Lytechinus pictus: one gene and its partners. The protein of the gene in region 3 purifies or fractionates together with the protein of the main gene of each other region. This does not show direct contact. Links are inferred from orthologs where the notes say so. Each region holds a gene or a part of one and is shown on either strand. Other genes may lie near its edges.

What was found.
Region 1: the proteins of serine/threonine-protein kinase PRP4 homolog (region 3) and U4/U6 small nuclear ribonucleoprotein Prp31-like purify together in Homo sapiens (affinity purification with mass spectrometry; 3 studies listed by BioGRID and IntAct, with this or other methods). This does not show direct contact. The link is inferred for Lytechinus pictus from reciprocal best matches to the Homo sapiens genes PRP4K and PRPF31.
Region 2: the proteins of serine/threonine-protein kinase PRP4 homolog (region 3) and pre-mRNA-processing-splicing factor 8 purify together in Homo sapiens (affinity purification with mass spectrometry; 4 studies listed by BioGRID and IntAct, with this or other methods). This does not show direct contact. The link is inferred for Lytechinus pictus from reciprocal best matches to the Homo sapiens genes PRP4K and PRPF8.
Region 4: the proteins of serine/threonine-protein kinase PRP4 homolog (region 3) and RNA-binding protein with serine-rich domain 1-like purify together in Homo sapiens (co-immunoprecipitation; 4 studies listed by BioGRID and IntAct, with this or other methods). This does not show direct contact. The link is inferred for Lytechinus pictus from reciprocal best matches to the Homo sapiens genes PRP4K and RNPS1.

What each region holds. Positions count from the first base shown.
Region 1 is NC_087254.1:21,097,083-21,104,211, reverse strand, and holds the start of U4/U6 small nuclear ribonucleoprotein Prp31-like, read right to left. Parts: upstream 3,002-7,129; 5' UTR 2,928-3,001; intron 2,591-2,927; exon of another isoform or gene 2,529-2,590; intron 1-2,528. UniProt on the Homo sapiens protein: Involved in pre-mRNA splicing as component of the spliceosome. Required for the assembly of the U4/U5/U6 tri-snRNP complex, one of the building blocks of the spliceosome.
Region 2 is NC_087246.1:34,396,934-34,404,157, reverse strand, and holds the start of pre-mRNA-processing-splicing factor 8, read right to left. Parts: upstream 3,003-7,224; 5' UTR 2,901-3,002; intron 1-2,900. UniProt on the Homo sapiens protein: Plays a role in pre-mRNA splicing as core component of precatalytic, catalytic and postcatalytic spliceosomal complexes, both of the predominant U2-type spliceosome and the minor U12-type spliceosome.
Region 3 is NC_087246.1:68,799,182-68,806,202, forward strand, and holds the start of serine/threonine-protein kinase PRP4 homolog, read right to left. Parts: upstream 3,018-7,021; 5' UTR 2,921-3,017; coding exon 2,904-2,920; intron 1-2,903. UniProt on the Homo sapiens protein: Serine/threonine kinase involved in spliceosomal assembly as well as mitosis and signaling regulation. Connects chromatin mediated regulation of transcription and pre-mRNA splicing.
Region 4 is NC_087254.1:22,809,719-22,817,620, forward strand, and holds the start of RNA-binding protein with serine-rich domain 1-like, read left to right. Parts: upstream 1-4,877; 5' UTR 4,878-4,962; coding exon 4,963-4,964; intron 4,965-7,902. Other genes in the region: WW domain-binding protein 11-like, read right to left, coding at 420-513, 1,360-1,391, 2,248-2,311. UniProt on the Homo sapiens protein: Part of pre- and post-splicing multiprotein mRNP complexes. Auxiliary component of the splicing-dependent multiprotein exon junction complex (EJC) deposited at splice junction on mRNAs.

The DNA of each region.
Region 1 (7,129 bases), on a different chromosome or scaffold from region 3:
ACTAGAATCGCGCAAATACGCGTGTGCGCAGACAAGGGAAGGGGGACTGCGCAGACTTGGGGGAACTTGCCATATATAGGTATGTGTGAATACGGGCGCATCGCGAACGCTGGTTTTGGCTGCACGGTTTTCGCGCGGGTTTTGCTGCAAGTGGCATCGCCTCTGTCTGGGCGGCTCATCGAAAATGGGGTTTCATGCGCATGCGCACATAGTTGATGCAATCTCGTGCCTCCATACAGACAGTTGAAGACTTGCTCTTTCTGTACATGTAAGTTTCAATGTGGATACTCGCCTGTGAAGTGTGGATATCGGAGCTTGAAAGTTCATCAAATTTTTGGATGCGCAAATGATCGAAATGTTTTAATGGTAAGTAGAACTGCAATCCAATTATGTATCTTGACCTTTTAAAAATGTATTCAAATTGAAAAAAAAACTAATATCAAAAGATTCTTTCGTGGAGCAGTCCAGATATAAGCGGCGCGAGCTACCCTTGTCACAGCCGGTCTCTCGGCAGTCGAGCTGCCCGATGCGGTGGGCTCCCGACGGTCTTTCGGCAGTCGAGCTACCGGTACCCGATGCGGAGGGCTTGGTGACGGGAGTGGTCGATAGTGAGTCGTTCATGCTGGATTGAACTGGATCTAAATTGTTCACTTGATAATATTGTGCCTTTTTCTGAAAATGTCTGTCATTATACCGTAGATTGTTATTCTGATATTGATTTAAATATATACATTTTGTCACAAAAACATTCTTTCCTCCTAAGGTTATAGAATCATATTTTATCATTTGGAAACTGGATTCTTTTGGAAGTGGAATATTAATGTTAATCTATAGTGTTTCTTTTTTTTCTTTTGTAGAAAAAAAAATATTTTGAAACTTTTCAATCATGTTTCATTATTTTGAGACTGGATTTGCTTTTGAAAGGAGAATATCATAAATGTTGACTTTTTAATTAAAATGCAAATATTATGTTTATTTTTTAGTTTCTTTTTTTTAAATATATTTTTTTAAGTTTCTTTTTTAAATTATTGTATTGTTTATTTTTTTCATTTTTTTTTCATATTTCATTATTTGGAGACTGGATTTGCTTTTGAAAGGAGAATATCTTAAATGTTGATTTTTTTTTATTAAAATGCACGAACTAGATGTTGTTTATTTTATGTTGTAATTTTTTTCACTCTTGTAAGAAAATACATGAAAACTCAGAGGAAAGAATATTTCATTTCCAGATGGGTCTGAGTCCTGTATTTATGTTTATTATTAATTGTACTATTTATTTTTTTGTTCACTTTTCTTTTTTTAGGGGTGCAGGTGGGGGTTGTATTTTGAATTGGAAAATGGGGATGGGATTGGTACAAGTTTTTGTTTCTCTTGTTTTTAGTGCTTGTTTGGAGCTTTGATGTCTGTTTTGTTGTTGTTGTTTAAAGCTTTGTTATATATTTTTCATGGTTGTTTTTTGCTTTGTTTTGAAAGAAATAGACCACTCTTTTCCTTTTCTTTTGGATTCGACTAATAATTTGAATTTATTTTTCTTTAAAAAGAGAGCTCAAACAGGGCTTTTGTAATACAATGTATGTATACAAATCTAAGAAATTGACAACTGATACAATATATTAAAACTTCATTTTCGTCCTTCTTGATACTTGAAATAAATTGCATACAATTCTACATACATATTTTACACTCAGCTGCTCATTCCTTCTAAAAATGTAATCACATGTCCATTGTCTCTCAAATCAAAAGCTACATATTATAACAAATTGTTGAAACAATAGAATACATAAGGAATTGGTGAAACAATAAAATACATCAGAAAAAAGCACACATATTTTTATTTGGTCATACAAAGTACAAAATAATTTTTTTTCATATGTAAAAAAGGACCCCCGTACAAACACATATACAAAATTACAATACTAAGTTGAAAAAGAGCTTGTAATTTATATCAGAAAACAAAGAAATACATTAGAAATTACAAAAACAATACTTTAGACAAATTCATTAGGAAATTATCTACATGATGCTGTTTTGATGCCAACTAAATTATATGAATTATCTATCATAATCACCTTCATTTGGCAAAAAAAAGAGGCAAGTAATTGTGATTTTCTGTTATTTGCATAATTAATTAGAATTAATTAGAAGAAATTATTTTACACATAATAAGAAAAATTACTAGATGAATTGATACACATCAATTAAGCATTCTCTCACCTTTCCATTGATACCTAAATTACTTCATAGGGCTCAAAAACAAAGAAGTTAGAGCCTGTTGAAGACTTGGGTTCAAAATGGTCACAAAAATGACAAAATGGTCACAAAAATCGATTCTGTACTCCATTGACTTTACATTAAGACAATGACCACAAATTTGGATGAATATGTGCGACTTAAACTGGAATAACTTTATAATTTCTTTATGAAAACTAAAGTTCTTGGTATCATTTTAAAGGTCTTTTTAAGAGCTTTCAAGTGATACCAAATTTATTCATATTTGATGATTTTCATTTTTTTTGTCACATACCTACCATATATGCGAATTGAATCGGAGTCGCCGATCGAAACATGGGAATCTGATCTGCTCAATTTTCTGCAAATAATGAGACGAAAACTAGGTAAAAGTCGAGTCTTGACTCCTGGGCTCCGACGTCGACCCGCTTCGCGAGCCGGAGCTCCCTGGCCCTGCCCCTGGGTTAGTTCCGATGCGATGCCGATGGAGCTGGCTGCACTGCACTCTGCACTTACACTCGCCACTCGGCTGATCGCACACGTTACCAATATGATAGCGCAATAAAAATTACATTAAATTTAACTACGCGATTTCCGCACAATTAACCTACGAATATCACCACTCATTATAAAAAAATAAGAATTGAGACTTCAAACTCAGTTACAACTAATACAAGCATATTTTTAATTTATTTTACCTGCCAGAGCACTGTATCTGCGATTTCTTGGTGTAAACAAAGAACGTTGAGGGCCGGCGCGGTAACAAATCTTTTTCCTTACGAAAAGAATAGGTCCATGGTTAAATTCAGAAAAAAATAACAAATAAATATTAATGAAGTTTTGAGGAAAAGCCATCATAGATTAAGAAAGTTATAATTATAATTTATAGTTTTTGTTTTGTGACGTAAAAAATGTCCCATAGTTTATGTCATGTAATATAAAATGTATAAAGTTCTTTTTTTTGTGGGAAGTTCGTGCATGATGACTAAAAAAAAATTTTCAGGAGCGGATGTGAAATTGGCCGTTTATGGTAAATTATTTTCAAATTATTTGAGAAAATGACATTTCCTTGAATTTTTAAAATACACGATATATGGGAAGCTGCTCGCATATGACGTGACAAATAAAAAAAATATTAAAATCTTTGATGGATTTTCCTTAAACCTTCACCAATATTTTGTAAAGTTCAACTTCAGATTTGCTTGGCATTGCAGTGTATGGTAGGGCTATAAAAAGAATTAGGCCTATGTCCATGGGCGGAAATCCCAGGGGGGACAGGGGGGGGCGTGTCCCCCCTACTCAATTGATTTATTTTATTTAAACACGGTAAAAAGCCCTCGATCAGCCTATGGCTGTTTACAAAACATGAACAGAGTGGCCAATTTTTAGGTCTAAATCTCTTTTTTTTTCTGCTCGCGCTTCGCGCTCGCATCAATTGTTGAATTATATAGCTACCCTGTTCACGATTACAAAAATTGATTAAAATTTTCAATTTTTTTATTGTTGAAATATGTAACGCCTTCATGGCTAAGTGCAAGCAGTCCTTAAAAGACAAGTCCACCCCAACAAAAAGCTGATTTGAATAGAAAGTGAAAAATCAAACAAGCATAACACTGAAAATTTCATCAAAATCGGATGAAAAATAAGAAAGTTATATTATTTTTTAAAGTTTCGCTTAAATTCTAAAAACAGTTATATGCACATCCTGTTCGGTATGCAAATGAAGGGACCGATGACATCACCCACTCACTATTTCTTTTTTTTTTGTTATATGAAATATGAAATATTTTGATTTTATTGTCATTGTCATGTGCTTCATTCCTCCCTAAACACGTGGAATTCCATTATTTTAACATTTTGTGGTTCAAGCAAGGGGGTCCTAATTGTCAAATTCGTAAAAATTGAAATATTGTTTAATTCAAACAATATATAAAAAACAAAAGAAATAGTGAGTGAGAGTGACATCACTGACTCTCTCATTTGCATATCATTGAGTTGAGCATAGAACTGTTTTGTGAAAAATAAGCGAAACTTTAAAATGTCTTTATAACTTTCTTATTTTACATCCGATTTTGATGAAGTTTTCAGTGTTATTCATGTGTGATTTTTCTCTATTTATTTAAATAAACTTTTTTTTGGGGTGGACTTGACCTTTAACAGATACCTTTTCAACAGGTACCATTTCAAAACGTATATAAAAATTTTCTGCTGGCGCTTTGCGCTCGCATTATTAATACTCATCCTTTTCATGATTTACAAAACATGAATAGAGCGTCTCGTTCAGTAAATATTATAGGACTAAATTTCGAAACTTTCCGCTCGCGCTTCGCGCTCGCATCAATTGTCTACTTATATACCTATTCTGCTTGAGTTACAAAAAGCGCTTACAATTTTCATTCTTTAGGTGAAAATGTAAAAAAAAAATCAGCTCGCGCTCGCATTATTTGATTGTTAAATGCTAACTGCACGCAGTCTTTAACAGGTATCTTTTCCATCAGTTCATTTCTGCTCGCGCTTTGCGTTCGTAGTAATTTTTTCAGGATAACAAACATTGCCCAGAATGTTCAAATTTTAGGAAAAAATACATAAAATTTCCAACAAATTAGCTCGTGCTTCGCGCTCCCATCATATAAATAAGGATTATGATATTATACATGAATTTATAAGAATAAAGCTAAGAAGTGACTAATGGGGACTATACCCCTTCAAAGAAACAAAACACAAATCATCTTCGAGCTGCCGATCGGGGAAAATACTCGCTGAAACAAATTTCCGCCCCCCCCCCCTCCTATTGGCGAAGGCTGGATCCGCCCCTGTGTCCCCCCTACCTTTTGGGAGAGATTTCCGCCCCTGCCTATGTCCGTGTTATTAAAATATTACAATGCGTCCCATTTATCAATTATAATTTTAACGCTGCATTATCTCCGCAAACAAAAGTATAAATATAGTTTATGTGATAACTGCCTACAGGATTAAAACCAAAACGGAAGTGGCTCAAGATCCTAATCCTAATTTGAGAAGGGGCATGCACAGTAAAAACGCTGTTTAAGATTTTATACAACGCTGTTTACTATTATGAACCTTACAGTATTTATTTAACCGTTTAAACAATCATGTTTAGATATTGAAAATTAAACTTTGTCGCTTAAAGGGATGGTCCGGGCTGAAAATATTTATATCTTAAGACATAGAGTAGAATTCACTGAGCAAAATGCCGAAAATTTCATCAAAATCGGATAACAAATGATACAGTTATTGAAGTTTAAAGTTTAGCAATATTTTGTGAAAACAGTCGTTATGAATATTCATTAGGTGTGCTGATGATGTCACATCTCCACTTTCCGTTTTCTTATGTTATTACATAAAATCATATTTTTCATTATTTCATACTTGTGTGAATAATATGTCTCCCTTATAATGAAATAAGTTGCATCAATAAATATCTAATGCACTAAATCAGTTGTCAATCCAATTTTTCTAGTTCTTTGAGAGAAAATTTGAATAAACCTATTTTCATATAATAAAATACAAAAGAACAAGTGGGGATGTGACATCATCAGCCCACTAATGAATATTCATGACCACTGTTTTCACAAAATATTGCTAAACTTTAAAATTAACTTACTTTGTTATTTGTTATCCGATTTTGATGAAATTTTCGGCATTTTGCTCAGTGAATTTTATTCTAATTATTAAGCTATAAATACTTTCAGCCCGGACCATCCCTTTAAGATTTAAACACTTGTTTAAACTGTTTAAACAATTACTGTAAGGTTCATATAGTAAACAGCGTTGTATAATTTTTTTTTACTATGTGGACTTCGATAACACCGGGGGGGGGGGGGGGGGGAGCGGCACTGTGTCCTCATTGAAAACCCTTTTACCCAAGAAAACGGTCCCGCTGACAAACGTGTTCGGTACCCCTTTCATCTCAAAGAAAGGCCCGTTTCGTGTATTAAAGGTCTAATCCGAGGGGTCCAACCTAGAAAAACTGATGATTTGAATAAATAGAAAAAAAATCAAACAAGCACAACAATACAAATTTCATTAAAATCGGATGTAAAATAAGAAAGCTATGGCATTTTAAAGTTTTGCTTATTTTTCACTATATAAACTTTATATGCACAACTCAGTGATATGCAAATTAGTCGATTATTGATGTCTCTCGCACTATGTTTGAATTGTACAATATTTCAATTTTTACCGATGTGGACAATATAGGGACCAACTTGATTGAACCATAAGTGAATATTGGTAATTTTACATGTTCAGGGAGGAACAAAACATTGTTTCACATGATAATGAGGAGAAAATTAGAACTATTTAATATTTTACATAATAAAATACACAAGAAATAGTCAGTGGGTGACGTCATCATCAGTCACCTCATTTGCATATATACTGACCATGCAGGGGCGGATCCAGCCTTTGCCAATAGGGGGGGGCCCGGAATTTTTTTCAGCCATATTTTCCCCGATCGGCCGCTCGAAGATGATTTTTGGTTTCTTTGAAGGTGTAATCCTAATAGTCACTTTTTGGCTCTATTCTTATTAATCAACATAAATATATCATAATCCTTATTTATATAATGCGAGTGCGAAGCGAGAGCTAAATTTTTTGGAAATCTTATGTATTTTTTCCTAAAATTTGAACATTCTGGGCAATGTTTGTTATCCTGAAAAAGATGTGTATGCAGCTAAATAATTACCACGAACGCGAAGCGCGAGCAGAAATGAACTGATGGAAAAGGTACCTGTTAAAGATTGCATGCAGTTAGCCATGAAGACGTTACATATTTCAAAAAAATCAAATATTGCGAGCGCGAAGCGCGAGCTAAAATTTTTCGACATTTTTACCCGAAGAATGGAAATTCTAAGCACTTTTTTTTAACTTAAACAGA
Region 2 (7,224 bases), about 34 Mb from region 3:
ACAGTACATGTACATACGTACACGAGCGATCGCGAGCCAGCCGACTCTCGAGCTAGATCGCGCTGAATGCATGCAAGCTTCGGACTGACTCGGCCAGGACTCGGCTTCAACTTCAAACCAAATAAACAATGAGTTGTCAGACTAAAATAGGCGACTTTTGTCGTCGCGATCGGCGACCAGAACTTGAACAAGAGTCAAGAAAAAGAAATGCCGAGGCCAGCGCCAGTATATCAAGTTCAACCAGGACGCTGTTTATACTTTATTTGTTCTATTTGCACGTTTGTCTTGATGTATATTACATGTATGTTATTTGATGATATGGATCTCTGCATATGCAGCTGTGTCTGGATTAAAGTCTTGAATTGAATTAAGAGCAAAAGAATTTTTGAAAAAAAATCGGGCAAGCAGTTTTTTCTATTGGTCAAGCAAATTTTTTTATCACTTGCCCGACAGGGCAAGAGATGAAAAAAATTCTTTGAAGAGGCCTGGTTTACCCCCTAAATGCGGCTGCCCGATCGCGAGCCGTCTGGGTAGAATGGGGGGGTCGGGTGTCCAGACAGTTTATATTCTTGAGGCCTTCTTTTTTGTCTTTGGATTGCACTAAAAATATGAATTCGATAGTTGTAAACATCTTCTATTTTGTTCTCTATGATGGTGGGCCCCAAGTCTGCGCACCTAACAATTTGAGTTAAGATTTAACATGAATTTCTTCTTATTTCACAAAATCTTTCAGTTAATAATGTTCCTTATATTATTATTAAGAGTAAGTGTACCAAATTTCTCGTTAAAAAATGAAAGAAAATATAGGATTTTCTTGAAAAAACCTCGGGCAGTCATTTTCAGATTAAAAAAAAAGATACTCCATGTCTGCGCACTCATTCACTTTGCACAATTCGGGGATTTTGATGAGAAAGGCTGCATTTTGAGGCCATCACATGAAATGCCCTAAATTCCTTATTTTTCCACCATTTTCAGTCGGATTTTTTTATGAATACCTGTCTATGTATTGCATTGCATGTTTAAACTTCGTGCTCGTTGCGTATCTTCTTTTACTAGAATCGCGCAGATACGCAGACAAGGGGGACTGCGCAGACTTGGGGGAACTTGCCATATAAAATATTAATATTTCCTAACATTTTGTAATAAAAATTGATGAAACTTCACTTGTAAATTTTTCCAAATGACGTTCTAAATTGATCGTCCGGACACACAACTGGGTATACTACTACTACGACGTCTACGAGAAAGTACTCACACAACATGCGAGGTTAGTATATTAACCTCGCACAACGCATGTCATTTCATAATGAATTTTGACGTTTTCATTCATCACACGAATGTGAGAATATGAAACACGCCTAAATCTTCACAATATACTAAATTTACTTATTTAGTAATCTTAATCATATAGCCTAGGGCCTAAGGCTAATGTAATCTAATTTTAAAAATCAGCACGAACTTATCTATAAAAATGGATTTTAAACGCTTACCTCCAAATCTCAGCCAGTTACTCCGTCCGATCCTTAATACTGCGGTGGAAATTACGCAAACAACAATTGAAATGCGAATTTTTCCTATCGAACAGTCTAGATTCAAGTCGAGAACCAGCGAATCGGCCCCATGCCTGCTTCGACATCAAGAAAAATCATTGATATAAAGTACCAGAAAGACAGAGAGGAATTGAAATTGGCTTCATATCGTTTGGTAAGTTTCATATCCAAAGACCAAAGTTTATTTAATTTGAAATCTGTAATGTATTGCTAATTTAAAAATAATAAAGGTGTTGCAAGTGGGATGGGGGATCGGGTGTCCGGACACTTTATATTTTTGAAGCCTTCTTTTTTGTCATTGGATTACACTACAAATACGAAATCAATAGTTGTAATCATCTTCTATTTTGTTCTCTATAATATTTCCTGACATTTTGTACTAAAAATTGATTGATTTCCTTGTAAATTTTTCCAAATGACCAGTAGAGGCGCTGGTCCAAAAACTGGGATTGTCCCAGAAAACAAGGATATCCTCATAAACCAAGACAAATCATGTCTTGATAAATTGAGACTGTCCTTGTTTATGGGGACGTTTTTTTTTCACTTCTCCCTACGGGACAAAGACAGCAATTACGGAAATTGAGAGTGCTAAAAATAGATTCAGTGACCTCAATTCCCCCCAGTTCGCCGTCTAATTTTCATGACTTACCGTCTTCCAATAATCTTGTTATGAAACCTGATATGTTTACATTGACTAGCACACTTGATTGGTGTCGGCACTTGACAGGTGAATGAACTTTCCTAGATTTCTAGTGTGAAGAAATCCTTATAAACTGAGACAGTCCCTGTATTCTGGGACGATCCCAATTTTCTGACCGGCGCCTCTACTGATGACTTTCTAAAATTGATCGTCCGGACACACAACAACTGGGTATGCCGTGCCAGTGGTTATCCTGTGGCTGTGCACGGCGGCGGTAATCAGTACTGGAGTACTGTACTACTGGTAATGTACCCGTAGGTGACGAGAAATAAGAAATGTTAAAAACTCCTCGAAACAGACGGCTGCCAGCTGTTTAACCCCCCCCCCCCCCAGCTTCCCCACGGCCCACAAGTGTCACAACAATGTCGCTCACTCAGTCACTGACACACTGGCGTGGCGGCATAACAATACATGACCGATTACAACATCCATATTCCACTCCATTCACTCACAATACAAATCGTCGAGCTTCGCTTGCTTTCTCACTGCACTCCCGAGCTCCCTGCTCCAGCTCTTGAGGCAACAAAATTACATCAAATGATATATGGCAAACTAGGCAAACGTGGTAAGATTCAGATCTAATTCTAAGAATAAATTGTGAATTTATATGGTCTCACTTTATTAAAATTTGGAGTCTAAATTCTACTCACTCTTTCGTAATCTCGAACAAGACGCAACGTAAGTGTTACCAAACGCAGAGGGCGCGCGACTTCTATGGCCACCGCGCTGAGTCGAGTGGGCATTCCGCAATTGGCCGCTCTCTCGGGGATCAAAACTATTTGTTTGCAAATGATGTCATATCGGATTTTTTTCTGCGGATACACCTTCAAAAACAAAAATTGTTCAGATTTGGATGGACCTATAGTGGGTCGAAAATAACGTAGGCCTAACCAAATTTTAAACTGTATTTGGCTAAGTTGCCAACTAATTTCTGTGTAACTTTAGTTTTATTTTTGATGCACTCAAGGAATTATTGGGGGCGAAGCGCTATGCTTGCCCCCCCCCCATATTTTCGTTGGTGGGGCGATCGCCTTCCCCCCTGTCCCCCCAAGATCGACGCCTCTGTTTGTTTGATTTACAACTGTATCACACCCTTTCCTAAAAAGAAAACAAAAACAAGTCATCACGATCGAACCATTAAAAAAATGAAATTTATGCGTTTATATTACAAAACATATGGGGCAGCTGCTCGTTTATGACGTCACAAAGCTAAAATTTAAAATTCTAATAACTTTCTTAATCTTTAATGGATTTTACTCAAACCTTCACCAATATTTTCCATTATTTTTTTCTGCTATTTTTACAACATCTGATCATCTCTCCCACAGGATGTAGACATGACGAGATCCAAGATCTTCCCATCTGATCATTTCTCACACAGGATGTAGACATGACGAGATCCAAGATCTTATCATCTGATCATCACTCCCACAGGATGTAGACATGATGAGATCCGAGATCTTGCAATCTGATCATCTCTCACACGGGACGTACACATGACGATGATCTAAGAATTTGTCTGATCATCTCTCCCACGGGATGCAGACATGACGAGATGATTATATTATGGGTGGCACTTTCCCGGGCGGGGGGCCCTTCCATTGACGAGTGGATCGATACCATGCGCGACCATGGGGTCTCGAAAAGCACCCTAAACAAGTATTTCCATATTCTGAAAATGCACCCCTTAACAAGTATTGGCGTGTGAAACCCTACCCTTAACAAGTATATTGGAAACAAAACGATACTTATCCCTGAATTGAACACCTAAACAAGTACAGCGATATTTTAATTGTTATGTCACGTACGGACGTCGGTCGTCGGTTTTACCTTTACCTACATCATTGGGTTTAGTACGGCCCCACCTCCCATATCTCGCGCAAATCGTACTAAACACGTAGTGTTGACTGCTGGGACAAAGAGTGACATCCTTTATTAAACATCTTAGTCTGAATTGTTTATACCCTCCCAAATTTGACCCTAAACACGTGGCTTTCCTAGCGAAATAGATACCCCAGGCTTTTTTCATTATTTTAGTGTTTTGACGACACCCTTATTACGTTACGTACGTAACGCGCCCTATCTTTTTACGTGTTTTTTGGGTCGCAAATGGTATGCACTCGTCAATGTAAGTGCCCCCCCCCCCCTGGGGGGGCATGCACTTTTAAACTTCCATATAGGCCTATTTCTCTTTCTGTTTATGGTAACTCCCGTAGGAACTCGACAGGACAGCTTTTGCTGGTAAACGCCGAGCTGGTATATAACCAATTACCTAGCAAACATTTAACGTCTAGGTTAATCAGTCATAGTGGCTGACGGTATAGACGACAGATATTACTCTCGGGTCTTTTTTCAAAGTGGAGACAATGGCAGAGTGAGGATTCGAACTCACAACTTCGTGATTATGAGTCCAATATGCTCTAACCACTGAATAACACGACCCGTTAACTTTTGCAAATTTCAAAATTCTGTTTTGCCCCATCTTCCTCTAAAGGTAGGCCAATAATAAAGTCAACAACCCAAGACCATATGCGAATCCAGGGGGCCGAGGCCCCCCCCCCCCCCCCTATTGGCGGAGAGAAAAAAAGAAAAAAGGAAAGAAAGAAAAAAAAAGGAAAAGAGAGGAGACAAAAGAAGAAGAAACATAAAAAGAGGAAGACGAGTGAATAAAATAAGATGAGGGGAAGACTTGAAAAAAATTTTTTTTTAATCTTTCATGTCACTATATAACTTTTTCGCTCGCGCTTTGCGCTCGCATTTTAGGTGATTTACATATCTTGTTCAATATGGAGCTTAACATATTAATTTTGAAGTCAATATACAAAACATATTTCAGCTCGGAAATCGAACTTTCTTTATTTTTGTTCGATTTACAAATTGATTTTTAAAAATTGCCCTGTAGAAATGTCTGTTTTATGGTCTGAATATTAACATTTTCTGCTCGCGCTGCGCGCTCGGAAAATTGGATTTGTCAGGTAACTATTATTTTCCTGTATTCCATAAAGTTCTCAAAATATCCCTATTCAGGTCAGATTGTCAAAACGTATCAGCTAACACTGCACACTCGCATTTTGATTGGTGAGTTAAGTGTATCAATATTAATTCTATAACAAACTAATGAATCCCCATTTCTTGACAGTTTATCAAAAATTTCGGCTCGCGATCTGCGCTCGCATTGATTGTTGAAAATATATTAACTCATGCATCTTATTCATAATTACATAAGTGATTTAAATGTCCAGTTTTCAGGCCATAATATTAAGAGATTTCGCGCTCTCATTAGTCTTATTAGATTAATGAATAAGATATTAATTTAATAATCAAATTGTCCCTTTTTTCAGAATGGAATATCGGCAAGTTTCATCTCGTGCTTAGGAAGAAATATAGGAATATAGTCATCATTTTCATATGATGACATAATGTTCTTAGAATGTCCCGGTCCTATGTCAAAACTCAAGTAATAATAATGAAACATATCAGCTCCTTTTTTAACTCTGATCCATATCCACCTCACAAATTCCCTTCAAAGTGCTTGAAATACAGAGCTTGAATTGATCCTTTTTATCAGATCGGAATATAAAATATTTTAAGCTCGCGCTTCGCGCTCGCTTTATTGATTTTCATGATAAAAAAGGCATTTAGAATGCCCAGATTCTAGGTCGAAATCTGAAACACGCCCACGCATGTTTATTTAGATACGCTGCCTGTACTCTATTTAAATCATTATCAAGTTTCAGATCGCAGTATAAAAAAATTTGCTCGTGCATTGCGTTCGCATTATTAATGTAGGAAGATTTCAAATTACTCATCATTTTCATGATTTACCAAACATGAATAGAGTGTCCCATTTTTAGGTGTGAATCTCGATTTTTTTTTTCCGCTCGCGCTCGCATCAATTGTTTTGTTATATATACTTATCCTTTTCACGATTACAAAAAGTGCTCAGAATTTTTATTCATCGGGTATATAAATGTCAAAATTTTAAGCTCGCGCTTCGCGCTCGCATTATATTGATTGTTCAAATATGTAACGTCTTCATGGCTAACTGCAAGCAGCCGTTAACAGATCCTTTTTAGATCAGATCAAAACGTATATTGAAAATTATCTAATATTGTTGAATAAGCATCCAGTGGCGTAACAGGCGGGGGGGGGGCAGGGGGGGGCAAGTTGCCCCCCCCCCCTGGCGAATTTCACCGGGAAAATAAAAAAGGGAAAAAATAAAAGAGAGGGAGAAAGAAAGGGGAAGAAAAGAGGGAAAGGAAAGGAGGAAAAGGAAAGAGAAAGGGAAAAGTGGAAAGAAAACAAAAAATATATATTTTTTTTAAATGGATGTCCTTTAAATGGAAAAGGAAGGAAAGCGGGAAGAAGAACAAAAGAAGAGCATTTGAGAAAGAACAAATCATTCCGAAATAGACCTATGTAGTGCAATAGCATGATGGGAAAGATCACAAACTGACAAACAATAGCGGGAAATGAAGGTAGAATGGAATTAGTCAAAAGCTAAATTGGAAAACAAAGAAAAGGCACAAGAAATAAAAACTTAATAACACGACCGGGCTGACGAGGATAGATAATAAAGAGCGGGAAGAAAGATGGACTGCATACAACATTGTGCTATTAGCTTGCTCAATTTTATGCAAATAAGCTACCGGGGCTTAGCCCCAGACCCCAAGCAGTAGGGGCTCTTCATCTATGACCTTCAAATGGCTCTATTACGCCCCCTGTAGGGACCCTTCCTACATTAAGCTTTACGTTCAATCACTGGCGTACAGGCGGGGGAGGGTCTTGGTTCAACACCCAAGAGGAAATAAAAGAAATTATAGGAGACAACGTATAATGAAATGAATGGAAACAATGAAATGTGTTATTTGCTGAATATAATGGAGAAATCTATCACATAATTAGAATTTAATTTCAATAGGCAATTTTTTTCCAGCTCGCTTTGCTCGCTGGCGACTTTTTTTTTTTATACAA
Region 3 (7,021 bases):
GAAAAATTCTTTGACGATATGTCGCTAAACATATCTTGCCAATTTCGATAACTATCGACAGAGAACATAATCAATACCTATTTTTTCTACATTATAGCGATGTCACATACTCGCGTTGTTCAAAATTTGTATCTGCCACTGTACATGTACCAAGAATGCTTTAAAATCCATGTTCATCGGATGTAAATGATTACATAAAATCTTTTAACAAACAAATATATTTAAATACATCCTCACCTTTCACGTTATTAGCATTATTTTAGGATTGGATGAATTTTTATCGATAATTTTGGGGCTTTTTGGGCATCGTCAATGTCTTTTGCCTATCCGGCATTTTGATATCGTTCTGTACATCTCAAAACGTAGAGTGCAGCAACACACGGCTTGTGTGCTGCCTTCTACGTTACTTGGTACTTCGTTAAAATTGAGCTTGCGCTTCTGATGTTTTTGATAAGGTCGAATGGAGTCAAGTGCAGTCATGTTTGGATTGTCAGGATTATAACGAAGTGGGGGTGAGATCGTGTTTTGTGGCTAGTACATGTAAGTATTCATATTTTGTTGAAATTTTGGAGTAATTTTTCTGTTATTTTCTGTTTAAAAATTCACTTTCAAAAGGCCATTTCCGTGTATTTACGTGAAATCGCAAAAAATCACTGTATCCCTACATGTACATGCATGTAATAGCGGGTATTATCGACGAGAGAAAGGTTATTGATATCGCTAAGTGGCAAAAAACGCGATTATCAACAAGACTAGCGATAAAGATGTTATCGATAAACAGCCCTAATGTTGAATTTTTGTGATCAAAATTTGCAGCCTTGTTTTGATGAAATGCTGTGCACTATGAATGCTCACAATTTTGTTTTCAATTTTGAAAGAAGGAGAATGAGACGGGACTTTTCCTTTTTTTTTTGAGGGTCCAGTTTGTGCCTCGATGTCAGCAGGATTCTGTGTCACGATAGACCGTCCATTCATCCATTAATTATAATTGGGGTAGTGCATAATTTATTTTCCCCCCTCTTATTTTGGGTGCTTTTGCGACCCCATTCTACCCCATTTTGGATAGTATTCTCTGCCTCATATTACACGGACGAGTCCTGGGCTCCGGCCCGCAAAGCGGGCCTGAGGCTGAGCTCCCTGGGCCGGGTTACATGTAACCCAGGGAGCTCCGGCCCGCGCAGTGGGCCGGAGCCCAGGGGCTTACCATGTATTTGACCATACTCACGGGACTAGCGTGATTTATGGTCTAAATATTTCTCCAAATGAATTGTGAAAACTGAAATTATACACTTACCGCGATTATATGGATGAAGGTCTAACGAGTGGCAGTTTCCTGACATCGAGGCACAGACTGAAACTTCAAAAAAACGAAAAGTTCTCTCCTTCTACCCCCGTCTCGATCGGCCATTTTTGTTATGAATCGTAACAAAATGGCCGATCGAGACTGGGGTAGGAGAGAACTTTTCGTTTTTTTTAACTTGAAGTTCCAGTCTGTGCCTCGATGTCAGGAAACTGCCACTCGTTAGACCTTCATCCATATAATCGCGGTAAGTGCATAATTTCTGTTTTCACAATTCATTTGGAGAAATATTTAGACCATAAATCACGCTAGTCCTGTGAGTATGGTCAAATACACGGTAAGCCCCTGGGGCCCGTTTCTCAACACCGTCATAAGTCTAACTTCTTGACTATTAAATCAGAGATAGTGAGCTACTTGTCCGCTAACCGTTTCACGAAGCCCTCTTTACCAAGATCGGGTACAACAACCTCACTAAATATTTATGACACCTCCGAAGCTGTCATAACTTCTTTCTTAGTGACGTACATGTAGTGGCATCACGTGGGTAGACTATGACATGCAAAAGCGCCTAGATATTTGAAAATAATAATCTTACGTAATCAATCATAGAGGTTGAAATTACATCACAAAACAAGTGGGATAATGCATTAAATGATAATTCTAATACAAAGAAACTATGAAAACTGTTAGTAAAACGCCACAAAACCTTTCAGTTTGAAATAGTGAAATGATTTAATCGATAAAGATTCTACCACGTCAGGCCATCCATAACTGGACTCGTATTTGTCGTTTTCAGACCCCTATTAACATTTGGATAAATTCTATCTCTAATTTATGCATACAATTTGTCAAATCGCATGTTTCGGTATCAAAGATTTAACAAAAATTGTTGAACTATAGTTTGATGATGTATGGAACCGTAGAAGGGCGTATAATTATCATCATTTTACAAAGAAAACCGTTATGGTTTACTTTCGTAAACTATTAAAATTCGATGTCCCGGGGGTACCCATCTCAACGTCCACATGTGATTTTCTAGTCATGAAATGAATTATTAATAATTTAATTTTCTCAGCAACTGAATGCTCCAATCTTCATGGTCTAAGTATGTATGATGCATAATTTAAATGTGCTGTTATTTTGAAAAGATGTATTTCCCAATTCATCACAATATTTGCAATTTTGTCATAATTTTTCTTTTTGAAAATTAGGCTATTTTGTGACTAAGGAGTAAGGCTACGTCTCGTCTGCTCATTTTTCGCTCATCTTTCGTGAAACGGGTTTAGTAAGATTGGAACTAACTCCATGGTTGATGGTTGGTGGATAAAGATATGACTTGTCCAGGTGTTGAGAAACGGGCCCCAGGGCTCCGGCCCGCTGCGCGGGCCGGAGCTCCCTGGGTTAGGTTACATGTAGATCCCTACCGTATTCCTCGCAATACCGGTACGTGTGAGTAGTGCGCCTGATGAGGCTGAGCCTGAGGTAAAACAGAGAAGCTAAATTGAAGAGCTTACCTTCCAACTTAAATTTCAAAGTACAGGTTGAATTTCAATTGAAGAAAGTGTATTTTAAATTTCATTCAAAAATATGCGAGTTATCTTACCCATCTGTATCTTCCATTTCGCCTGCCTTATTCAGGAAAGAGACATTTTTACGAAATATAATCTCGGAATTTTATGATACCGGTGAATTGAGACGAATCGAAATCATGTGAATCGGCAACTTTGATGCAGATATTGTGAAGTGATTATTGCTTTAAAAATATTTTTCTAGAATTTCAGCATTATAAAAGCAAAAATAATAATTGGAAAAAAATTAAAATATTTTTAGTAATTCAAAATCGTAAATATTATTAATTATATACAACATTACCAATTATAACAAAGTGATCTGTAAAACTAAAGCATTTCGAAAAAGTAGGCAACAAGGCTTACATTAGAGTTCGATAAGTCGTTTTAAAACATAAGAAAATAAAAAATGCAATATTTGACATATTATTTTATTTTTTTACAAATATAAGACATTTTATTTTGATAAAAAAAAATTAATGTATTAATTTATTAATTTACGTATTTTTAAATCATTTTAAAATTGATTTATTTAAAGAAACGGTTTCTTTGACTCTGGCAGATTGTCTTAGCTTTGGCCAATTACGCAAAGGGCCGGTGCCGGTGATCGGATCGCGATCGGACTCGAGTGGCGCGCCGGGCCGCGAAAGAAGGCCTTGAGATGAGCCGTACATAGTACATAGAGACTGATACTAGAGTCTTAGAGAGGGTACCGACGCGACATAGAGATGCTGCCAGGTTGACTCTGGACATGGATAATTCCTGAACAGCTGATTTTTACTCTTACTAAATCTGCGAATGCAAGTCATCAAAACTTTGAACTGTTTAGTGTTGGATCTGAATTTAGAAGTTAGAACCCTTTTTAACAGTGGAGCATGAGCAGTCTTTGGGCCTTGGCTTTGAGTGACTTTTTAAATTAAAGAAAGTGAGTCAATCAATCATGATCATCCTACTACTAGCTGACTAGACCAAAATCTTCGGTCTCTGTTAAATTGGTTGTTCTGCAGAACTCTGTTAGCTCCAAATGAAAAAAATTTAAACTCCTTGTTCCCGGCCATGCCAGCTGTTTAGATCATTCATTCAAGTTCGGACATCAGATTTTTTTTTAGGCCCCTATTTGATAACTCGGTGGGGGTCATTCAGAGGCTAAGGCTTTCGTTGGTGCGCGCGGCTGTGACGAATTGAAATGTGCAGCCGCCATCTTTAAGTTATACATGTAAAGAGGAAAATATCAGACTTTTCACTGTTTTACAATACATTTTTCAAAAAGTACAGTTCATTATATTACGTTGTAGTCTTTACAGTGTGAAAATCAGACACAAGGCCAAATATTTTCTTGTAATGTTAGGGTCTATATTAACTATGCGTAATTGGCCATGCGTCTTTAACTCGCCCCACGAAAAGGTGGCTTTGTTACACTTTTTCAATTTTCATTCAGTTAAACAAAGGCCTACCACATCTCAGTTGAACGGAGAGATTTGTCATGAAATTGGTATCATTTTAAACTACCGGTACTAACTATATAGCCTACATCATGTCTGAAAAAATAAGTGCAATATGAATATTTATTTTTTTTACAAATGGCTTGAGAATTTGGTTTAACAAAGATGAGATAACTCAAAGATGATTGTGTTATTTATTTTCCAGATCTATGCAAATTAAGGTGTCTGGATTAAGACCCTCATCTACAGAAATACCCTGTTATAGATTTCCATCAAAAGTGACGTTTGGAGCCAGAAATCTTGGATTGGTGGTGTCCAACAATCATAACAGGAGAGGCTGAAGCGAAGATTTGGATCCAGATTTGGTGTGAAGTCCTCGGTTGAGTTTGAGAAATCCACATTTCAACAATGTTTCAAGCTATAATTCGCAGTACCTCAAGCATTACAAGGAGAATGGCAAGTATAATTAGATGCGCTATGTCTTGCACTTTAGGCACTGGTACTGATAAAGCAAGGTTTGATTAATAAAATAAACCTTGCACAAAGTTGATTTGGTCATTTTGTTGATTTCACTTATGCTATTTGTGTCTGTGTATCAAGGGATCATTTTATTTCAAATCACATGTGTGCAGTCACAAGTGTGAGTCAAAATTGCACATGCCTACTTGCCTAGTATGGCTATAGCCTCCTACATGTACATGTATTTACACATTACCTTTGAGACTCCAGGGCCCTGTCGTACAAAGAGTTACAATTGATCCAGTTAATCTCAACTGTATGGGAAATCCATCTTTACCCCCGGGGGGCCACATCCATTGATGAGTGGATACCATGCGCGACCATGGGGTCTCGAAAAGCACCCTAAACACGTATTTTCCATATTCTGAATATGCACCCCTTAACAAGTATTGGCGTGTGAAACCATACCCTTAACAAGTATTGGAAACAAAACGATACTCTTGCCAAGTATTCCCTGAATTGACTCCCTAAACAAGTACAGCGATATTTTTATTGATATATCGGTCGTCGGCTTTACCGTTACCTTTACCTACATTATTGGGTAAATCGTACTCTAAACACGTAGTGTTGACTCTTGGGGCAAAAAGTACATCCTTTATAAAAACATTTTAGTCTTAATTTTTTACCCCCTCGCAAATTTGACCCTAAACACATAGCTTTCCTAGCGAAAAAAGATACCCTTTTTTCATTATTTTAGTGTTTTTGACACCCTTATTACATTACGTACGTAACGTGCCCTATCTTGAAAAAGACACCCTTTTTACGTGTTTTTTTTGGTCGCGTATGGTATCCACTCGTCAATGTAAGTGCCCCCCCCCCCCCCCCGGGTCTGTACCATTTTTTTTTCTACGAGAAATTTGCACAATCCCCTTTATAGTAAACAAAGAGAATCACAGTTAATCTTCAAGAGAACGATGAATGTACATAGAAAGTATTTTGAACAAACATGCATTTTAGATGTTGACAACTTGATGTTGCTGGCTTTCCATAATTATGGTCGATCAGATCAATAGGAACTCTTTGTAGGGCTCTTGCTCTTTCCTGAAATCATGGGCTTTCATGTAGGGCCATTGACATTACCTGCATGTATAATTTCTTTTACATAAATGAATAGGTTATATCATTATACCTTGATAAACATATTCAAAAAGCACATGACCAAAATCACCACTTAAAGCACTCGGCATGTCTTGCTGTGTGAGGTGTACAGTGATTTTATAAATGATGCCTTAGTTTAATATGCTTTTTTTTTTGTATGAATAGTAGCTGTCTGCTGTTTGCTTCAACATGCTTTGAATGGTTTATTGAAAGTCATGAAAATTGTCATACATTCTCTTGGTCAACTATGAAATGTTGATCTGGAATTAGATGAACAATGCTGATGGTGCTGCATGTATGGATCAAGATTTTTGTTCACAAGTTTGATTCTTTATGCCATAAACTTACAATTGTGAAATCTAAGCTGATATTGATAAGTAGCAAACTGAAGATCACACTCACAGATAAGCCAGGGAGTAATTTTACTTTTCAAATATGATTTGTGATTATTAGAGAAAAGCTTTCAAATATGCTCTTAACAGTTCTATGTCAAAAATTGCTACACGAATGAAATTTTGTGTAGCGATCACGAAATCATGTGGAGCAAATTGCGATGCGATACCAGGAAAATTATTCCCTCTAAGCACATGTAGGGCAGTGTATTATATTTGGAAAAAAAATATGTGAAAAAAGACTGACACTTGGCTAAGATTGCATGCTTGTTTTGTGAATTATTCAGCAATTTTCTTATCAAAATCTTTCAGCACATATCTTATTCATGCATAATAACGATTGGTGGTCATTCTTTTGACTTTTGTTCAAACTGATTTTTAATGTATATTGTTACCAGAATCTCATTTATGTACTGTAACTTTAATTTTAAAGACTTTATTATGATATTGTTTGCCGCAACTGCATATGCATTTATTTAGCTTTTAATAACCACAGTTAAAATTGATTTGATTCTAGCTGACAGCTCTTCAGCCAAGGGGTCTATCGGGAGTACAAGATGCTACTGAGGGAGAAGGAAGAATAAAAACAGTCCTGCAGGATAAATTTCCAACTGCAACAAGCATTGAGGTGGAAGATATATCAGGTAAGAAGTCAATACAAGATGGCAAAATATAACTTTATTCAGAAATTAAAAAAACACA
Region 4 (7,902 bases), on a different chromosome or scaffold from region 3:
TCCCTCCCCACCAACAAAAATATATTAAAAAAAACTGCTGTCACCCATTATATAATGTTGATTTAATATTTCTCAAAATGTACATTTTTTATACATTTAATAATACCTGCAAAAGTTATTGATATTTCATTAATGATCTTCAATTAATTTTGTTCTAAAGTATTTGAATTAATTAAACTCACTCATTTCTTCAACTTCAGAAAAAAAGTTGTTACAATAACAAGTAACCTAATTTATCAAGGGCAGTAATGAGCACAGAAAAACCTTGGTTCATCCAGTGTTGAGACAATATATGTGACTTTGATGATCTAAACCAAGACATGCATCACAGTACATTCGGGGGAAAACCCCATAAAATAAATGCATTTTCAACTGAAAATTCTGATCCACCAAGTGTAATATGGGCAAGAGTAACTCACCTAGTTCATCCAATGCTTCTAAGTCTTGTAGTAAACCCAATGGATCTTTGTTCTTCAAGACAGCAGCTCTCACTGCCATACGCTGCTTCTTGTTCTAATAAACCAACAAGAAAGTCAAACACCAATGATAATGTGAATATGAATTTGGGGTTGACTTGACTTTAAATATATAGAAAAAGGTGATGAATGTACATGTATGAAATGAGGCAATGTATGAATTATAAGTACATTATCCATTACATCACATTTATTTTGTCATGAAGCTCATTTCATCCTGTATGACATGTTTCCACATACATGTAATCAACGAATGGTATCAGATTCTTTAAAAAAAAAAAAAGAATTCTCCAAATTGCATTGGTAAAAAATTCTTGAAACGAGGATACTACAGTGATCAAGAACACAATATGGACATTCTACAACAGAGACCACCACATGAAGGCCAACTGAATTTCAGAGAAAGAACATCTCACTCTCCCACTTCATTACTTTATTCTGACCACATCACTTGTGTACTCTGGCTGAGCATAGGTTTAAAGTTTTGACACAGTGAGGGTGAACTTCACAGGTTTCTATGGAATATTATCAGTAGCTCTAAGAACATATCAATTCATGCCATGAGTCAGTCTCTTCTAATTTATATTTGAAATCTGATATGCTTTACAACATGAAATATTTAAATTTGAATGATTTATTATTAATTCATGGAAACACTTGTCCCATACATGAACATGTACAGAAGTCAGAACAAAATGAAAGACTTTGTAATCACTTACACAGTATGTGACAATGTGTAGTCAGAGACACACTGAGGTGTAAGTGATCAAAACGACTTGTTTTAGTTTTATATCAATATAATTTATCCAGTCAAGAAGGAGGCAAGGGGAGGAAACCATGAGACCCCATATTTACTAAACTACAAGGTTATTAAAGTACTTGCCTTCTTTAATTCCCTCTTTCTTGCTTCCTTCCCTGTGAAAATAAAATATACAATTGTAAAATAAATGTTTAATTGTCCTCTAAAGTCTTTATTTTAAAGGGCTAATGCTAACATCAAGATTTAACAGAAATCCATCCAATCCAAGCCAGCTCCATGTCCCAAGAATTACAGAACATGCCCTAAATTCATGAGAGGTTAAAGCCAAAATTAGGTTTTGAAGCTGTATTTCAGCTTCAATCTCATCATCATTGTGCAAATTCTCAGTCAGACATTGCTTCGCCATAATTTTTATTTAAACTGAAGTTAGCGACCAAAATCATGCAAACATGCGGCAAATAAACAGGTGTGCTGCCGCAGACAAATCTTTTGGTCACTAACTTCAATCCATGTCAAAATTACGGCAAAGCCAAGTAGACCTACTAAAAAAAAAAAGATAACGTCGAGATTGGAGCCGAAATACAGCCTTTCCCGATCGCGATATCTCAGACTCAGGACAAGGTCACAAGCTGGACAAGCGGTGGACATATTTTTATTGACTTCGTCTTCGGAATCGGATGTGACCGAGTCTGACTCTGAGAGTGAGAGACTTGCCATCAATCATCATATTTGCAAACAATTCTGGTCATGCTGGTGGGGAATTAGCTCGAAGTCGGCCGGTGCAAAACTGCATTAGCACCACTGGCATTGCCATTTGCATTAGCATCTCGATTTCGATTGGCATTGCCAATGGCAAATGGCATTGGTTCTATCATTGATACCGCCAGGCATAACAATGCATATTTATCTGCGTGTGGGACCAGGCCTTAATAAAAATAGATTGTCCCAATCCATCCCGAAGCACTCACGCATTCTCATTTCTTCAGCATGATTTACACAAAATTTACTTACTTGCTTGATCAGTAGGATTCATATACTTCCCACTTTTCGTGGTATTGATCGATCGTCTCCCCATTTTGGCAGAATTTTAATAGGAATTCTCCTCACGATCACAAAATCCACGGGCACGGTTAAAGCAAATGTACAATTATTGTATCTCTATCGATGAGGGCGCGAACACCGATGATGATCTCCCCGCGATTTACCCCCACAAAAAGCAATCCTACAGATCGAGGAGGAATTACTGGGAATTACTCGGATATAAATATATAATGATAATATATTCCAACATTTCCAAGAATTTAAAATTTCTGTGATTTTAAATATGTTTTCAGATTCATTTGAAGGAGTCTAGACCGACCAAATTAGGCAACAAGTTTTTCATGGCCCTCAAGGGCGGAAATCTCTCCCGGAAGGTATAGGGGACCAGGGGCTGGAAAATTTGACAATTAAGCAAAAAAAAATTAAAAAAAGTTTATCACCCCAAATGTAAGGTCACTTCGACCAAAATAAATTTTACAAGCAAAAAAAAAAAAAAAGAAAAGAAGGTTATCACCCAAAAAGTAAGGTCATCTCGTCCAAAATACATGTTTTATTTCAATTTTGAATTATGTATTTCTTTCCATCATACAAAAAAAGTAGGGGGATCAACATTTTGATATTTCGAGGCCTCCATCACTTTCAAGCTCCAAGCTTAAGATGGAGGTCTCCCACATTTCTATATATATATGTTCAGTAATTAAAGAAAATGTATATATATAGATATAATTTCACAGTCCAGTTGATATTTTATAATGATTTATGTGCATTATTCATTATGTTTAAAAAAATATTTGCCTATTATGTAATATTGAAAAAAAAATATTATACTTGTATATTTTTTGTTTTTGTTTTGAAATGTGGAAATAAAATAAATCAAATCAAATCAAATATTGTGTCCCCATACTATTTTGGGTAGGGAGGACGCGTCCCCCTGTCCCCCCTGGGATTTCCGCCCATGATGGCCCTGCGAAGCGGGGATGCTAAAGTTCAGCACCTCCTAGCTGAATTCTGGAAGATGTAGCGAATTTGGAAATGTAAGGAAAATGACTTTTTTCTAGGGACCAAAACGACCTTCATTTTGTAATGAAACTTTTTTTTTTGCTCGTCAAATTTACTTCAGCACCCCAGCAAAGGACCCTGAAAAGCTTCTAATGGAATGCTCCATGTTCAAAATTTTGTTGCACAATTAACACATGGCTTAATTTGTGATGCGACAATTAAGACAATCACAGAACTCTATGTCCACTCTCACAAAATAACAGATAAACATAGATAAATACATAAAGAAGAAGAAGAAGAAAGGAAGAAGAATTAAGAAGAAGAAAAAGAAGAAGAAGATCGAAGAATTGATTTGTCATACTACTTTTTGCGTTACGTTCTATCTTTATATACCTTGAAATTTATTTGTCACTGAATCTATAAAGTCGGCCTAAGATTTATTAAGAATTAGGCCTACTATTATCATTATTGTTATTATTATTAATATTACTTTCACCATCATCATCTTTATTATTATTATTTTCATCCCGGGATTTTCATCACCATTTTTATTGTTATCATCATTATCTAATATTAGTTTGTTCTTGTTAATTGTTGTTGTTATTCATCACTATTAGTGAGAGGTTTTCCTCTGTTCTTTGTTGAAACCGTAATCAATGATGTATTTACATACAGGCTTATATGTTCTCAGGCCTATTTCCCTGTATGCAACTTATTACTTTTTCCCGCATTTTTTTTTTACTGAAATGGAGTCATCTCGGTGTAGTCAAGAGAAAATCAATCCGATAAATCTGGACAGACCGGGGGCCGCGAAACGAGGGAGGAGGGGGCTGGGTTGGCTTTAGCCCCCACTTTTTTTTCCAAAACCGTGTACAAAAACATAAAAATTACCGTCGCATTGTTATTTTTGCATGGTCCCCCCCCCACCCCCCCCCCTTTCACAGCCGTTCTGCCTTCCGCGACCTATAGCTAGTCTGCAGGCACAGACTAGACCTAGACCAAAAGCTTCGGTCTCCGTTATGTTGGTTGTTCAGCTGAACTCCGTTTTAGTTGGCTTCACTCACCAAATGTGTACGAGGAGAAATTAAAAAAATTAAAAATGTAAAAAACCTCCTCGAAACAGACGGCTGCCAGCTGTCTAGCACAGACCCTGATTGAAACTTTCAGTGTGTCTCTACGCAAAGACTAGCACATATAAAACTTGCTGTTGAGCGCGAGAGGGCCTTCAGTATATACACAAGGCATGAGTAGGTAGGCTGCAATTCAGACCCTTTACTCGAGTGAAGGGTTTGCACAGCAGACTATAGCATTTAGCCCACTGAACTAGAGATACGTATTTTTAGTTCAGTGATTTAGCCGCCGCGCCCCTCCAAATTAGTCTGCTATGCAGACTCTGAATGGCTCGTGAAGTGGGATCTGCAGCTGGTTTGCGAAGCAAACCAGCCTGAAAGGGCGAGCGAAGCGAGCCATTTCAGATCTGCAGGCTCTAGTAGACCTAGTCTGCTATGCAGACTCCTTGAATCAGCTGTGATACACACACTGCAGATGTGGGTCTACAATTGTAGACTACCTCCAAATCGCATCGATGATGAAAAAAAAAGGGGTCCTATAATTATACTGCTGCTAGAGGGCGCTCGTTCTGGCCAAAGAAAGTAGCGTTTGCTGCGTCCTTCGGTCCCAGTCAAGATGTAAGAACAATCGCTTTATTTCGAACACATCTTAATATTCTCGTCGTAATTTGAAAATTTATGAGTATGCTCGATATGTTATCTTAACATGCATTGTTAAATTTTTGTATATAATCAATATATTAGCGTGATGATCATCGTGTCAATTATGCGAATCCATTGACGATCGAAGTCATTTTAATGACTTTATTGTCAATGAGTGGGACTGTACGAAATGAAACTCGGTTTCTAATTACGGTTTTCTTGAGTAGATCTACCCTGAAATGAAATCTTATTGTAATGGTTGTACATGTAAAAACTGTCCTCATAAACAAGGACCCTCGCAGGTAATCCTAAATCCTGGGTATTTGTGTTTAGCCTTTTGCTTTAGGCCTAACCTAGAGTAGCTTGCCTTTTCTTTTTGACTTTTGAGTAAAAATTTTAGTTTTACTTTTTAGTTTTAAAATTAGCCTTGGCTTTGGCTGCCACATGTCACATCCTACCTCAGGCGATGTTCGTGCAGGCTCCACTTCACTACCGCTACACTACGCTCCACCTACCCGAACATCGGGACCGTGAACCATTTCGGATATACCGAGTCACAAAGGTCATGAACAGTAGAGGCGCACGGCCAATATTGGAGACTGTCTCCAATGTGGGAGATTATCTCCAATATCAGAGACTTTTGTAAAGAATTTGGGTATCCAATTTCAGAGACAGTCTCCAGTTTTGGAGTCCAATTTCCTTTGTTTACATTTGCTGCAAAAGGATTACCTTGGCGGCAAATGAAAATGTGATAAGCAGATTCCTCATGAAAAATTACCCCTTTTCACCGTCTACTTTAAAAATTCACCGTCTACTTTTGTTTTGATAAGGATTTTTGTTGTCAATCACACACAAAACAAATGGGCTTCTGATCTCAGTGAGACAAAATTTTGGGTGGAAAAAAATCATGCTTTTGTTGGTGTTGTTTCTTTTGTCCTTTTGCAAAGCAAGGCTCCAATGTGGGAGATTGTCTCCCCTATTGGAGAGAGTCTCCCATATTGGCCGTGCGCCTCTACTGATGAAGGTGGGATGGCAATCATGATAATCATAAAAATTAAACAAAAAAAATATAACGAAAAAGATGATTGACTTAATATCTTACTCTACACCCGTATTTCACTCCGTGTCCATCCTCCGGTTATCCTCAAAATTTGTGATTTTGGGCCAGTATCTTTCTCCTCACACGTATTATTCACGGCTGATTTCAAATCATCGCATGCGATCGCGATCGGTTTGACTTTTAGACATCCGAATTTGAAAATTCAAACAGTTTTGTGAATCGTAGATATTGAGCCTCATTGTGAGCATATCAAACATGCTGGAACAGCCTTTCCTAATTTTCACCTGAAGTGCCTAATTTAATACCTCATTCATTTTAATGGCCCCAGTAGTAACAAGAAAGTTATGGTAGTTTTAAGTTCGTACAAATCGCCCCTTCAATTCTTATGTATTCCTTTGTTTTTTAAAACAAAAGTTGTGACCTTAATTGGGGACCAAGGTGCACTAATACTAGAAAACAACATACATTGGCATATGGAAGTGCCCAACAACACTCCCCAAAATTACAGACGCCGCCGAAACAGGGACATAAAAAACACACTTAGCGTCAGTAGATCTCTTTCAAATTTCACCGCAATGGAGTTGAAATGTTGTTCTATCGGAATAAATACCTTTTAGAGTGGGATGATACCTGTAAATATAAATAGCAAGAGGTTGAAAGCAAGGCCAAATTTCCAGTAGCACACAGGGTCGCAAGATCACCGAGTGATATTTTTTCAAGTCTAGACAGCTGCCATAAACATTCAACTACGTAAAAACAATGATGTTATGGGGAATAACTTTCCTTGCACATGCAAACACAATACAAAGCAATGCCCCCACAGTCACCCTGCAATTATAGGCAGCACACTCAATGCTTCATTCACTTTTGTAACATACCTATACCAAGGCTCCACATTAACTTTTTTTGGTGGTGGCCCGTTCGGGCCACCAAAACCATCAAATAATTTTTTTTTGGTGGCCCGATATTAAAGTTTGGTGGCCCGAAAAATATAAAGAAACACATTAAAAATTGATAAAACAAACTTCTGAAATATTAATTCTGCAGCCACTACCACTAAGTTACTTCCACTTTATCATCTTGTATGTAAACCTTGTTTGCTGTTATTTTACTTTGCTAATTGGCTTGTGGTAAAATATAAATTGTTTCTATCATTGTAAAAATGAAATGATTGAAAGAGAATAAATGAATTTTATTGTTCCCAGGTTGTGTGGACTTTTTTTAAATCTCTGTATAGACACACACACTCATAATGGTAAAGTAAATAAATAGTGCATAGCAAACACAGATAGATGTACAAAACTATGGTTTTTCATTTCTTCCTCTTTGAATCCTAAAACCTAAATTATGCAGGCCCCAAATCCATTTTATTTCTGTTTTCCCTTTTGCAGTATATTATAGCAGGAGAAAATCACAGAAAAATATTCTGCAAAATTAGAACAATGCATAAAAGGGGGAAACAAATGAAAATAATTTTCAAAAAGTATATTACAAAAAGAAAAAGAAAAGAAAAGAAATAAGTGAAATAAAACAAAAGAAAGAAAAAACAAAGAACAGGGAAAAAAAGAAAAGAAAAAATTAGAGAGAAAAAAAAAAAGAAAGTGAAAGAAAAATGAATAAAACAAAATTAATATAAACATGGGAAAAAGGGGAAAATTAAGAAGCCATTACGAATATTTGTTAACAGCTGTGGCAACAGTCTATTCTGACTGGAATATAATTAAAAGCCAAGCAAATAATTTTCACTTACCTTCTGGGAATGGCATTTTATATCCTTTAGTTTGTATTATTTTATTTTCAGTAGAAACATATTTTTTAATCAGGCATATTCAATGGGAAGGGGTATAAATGGTT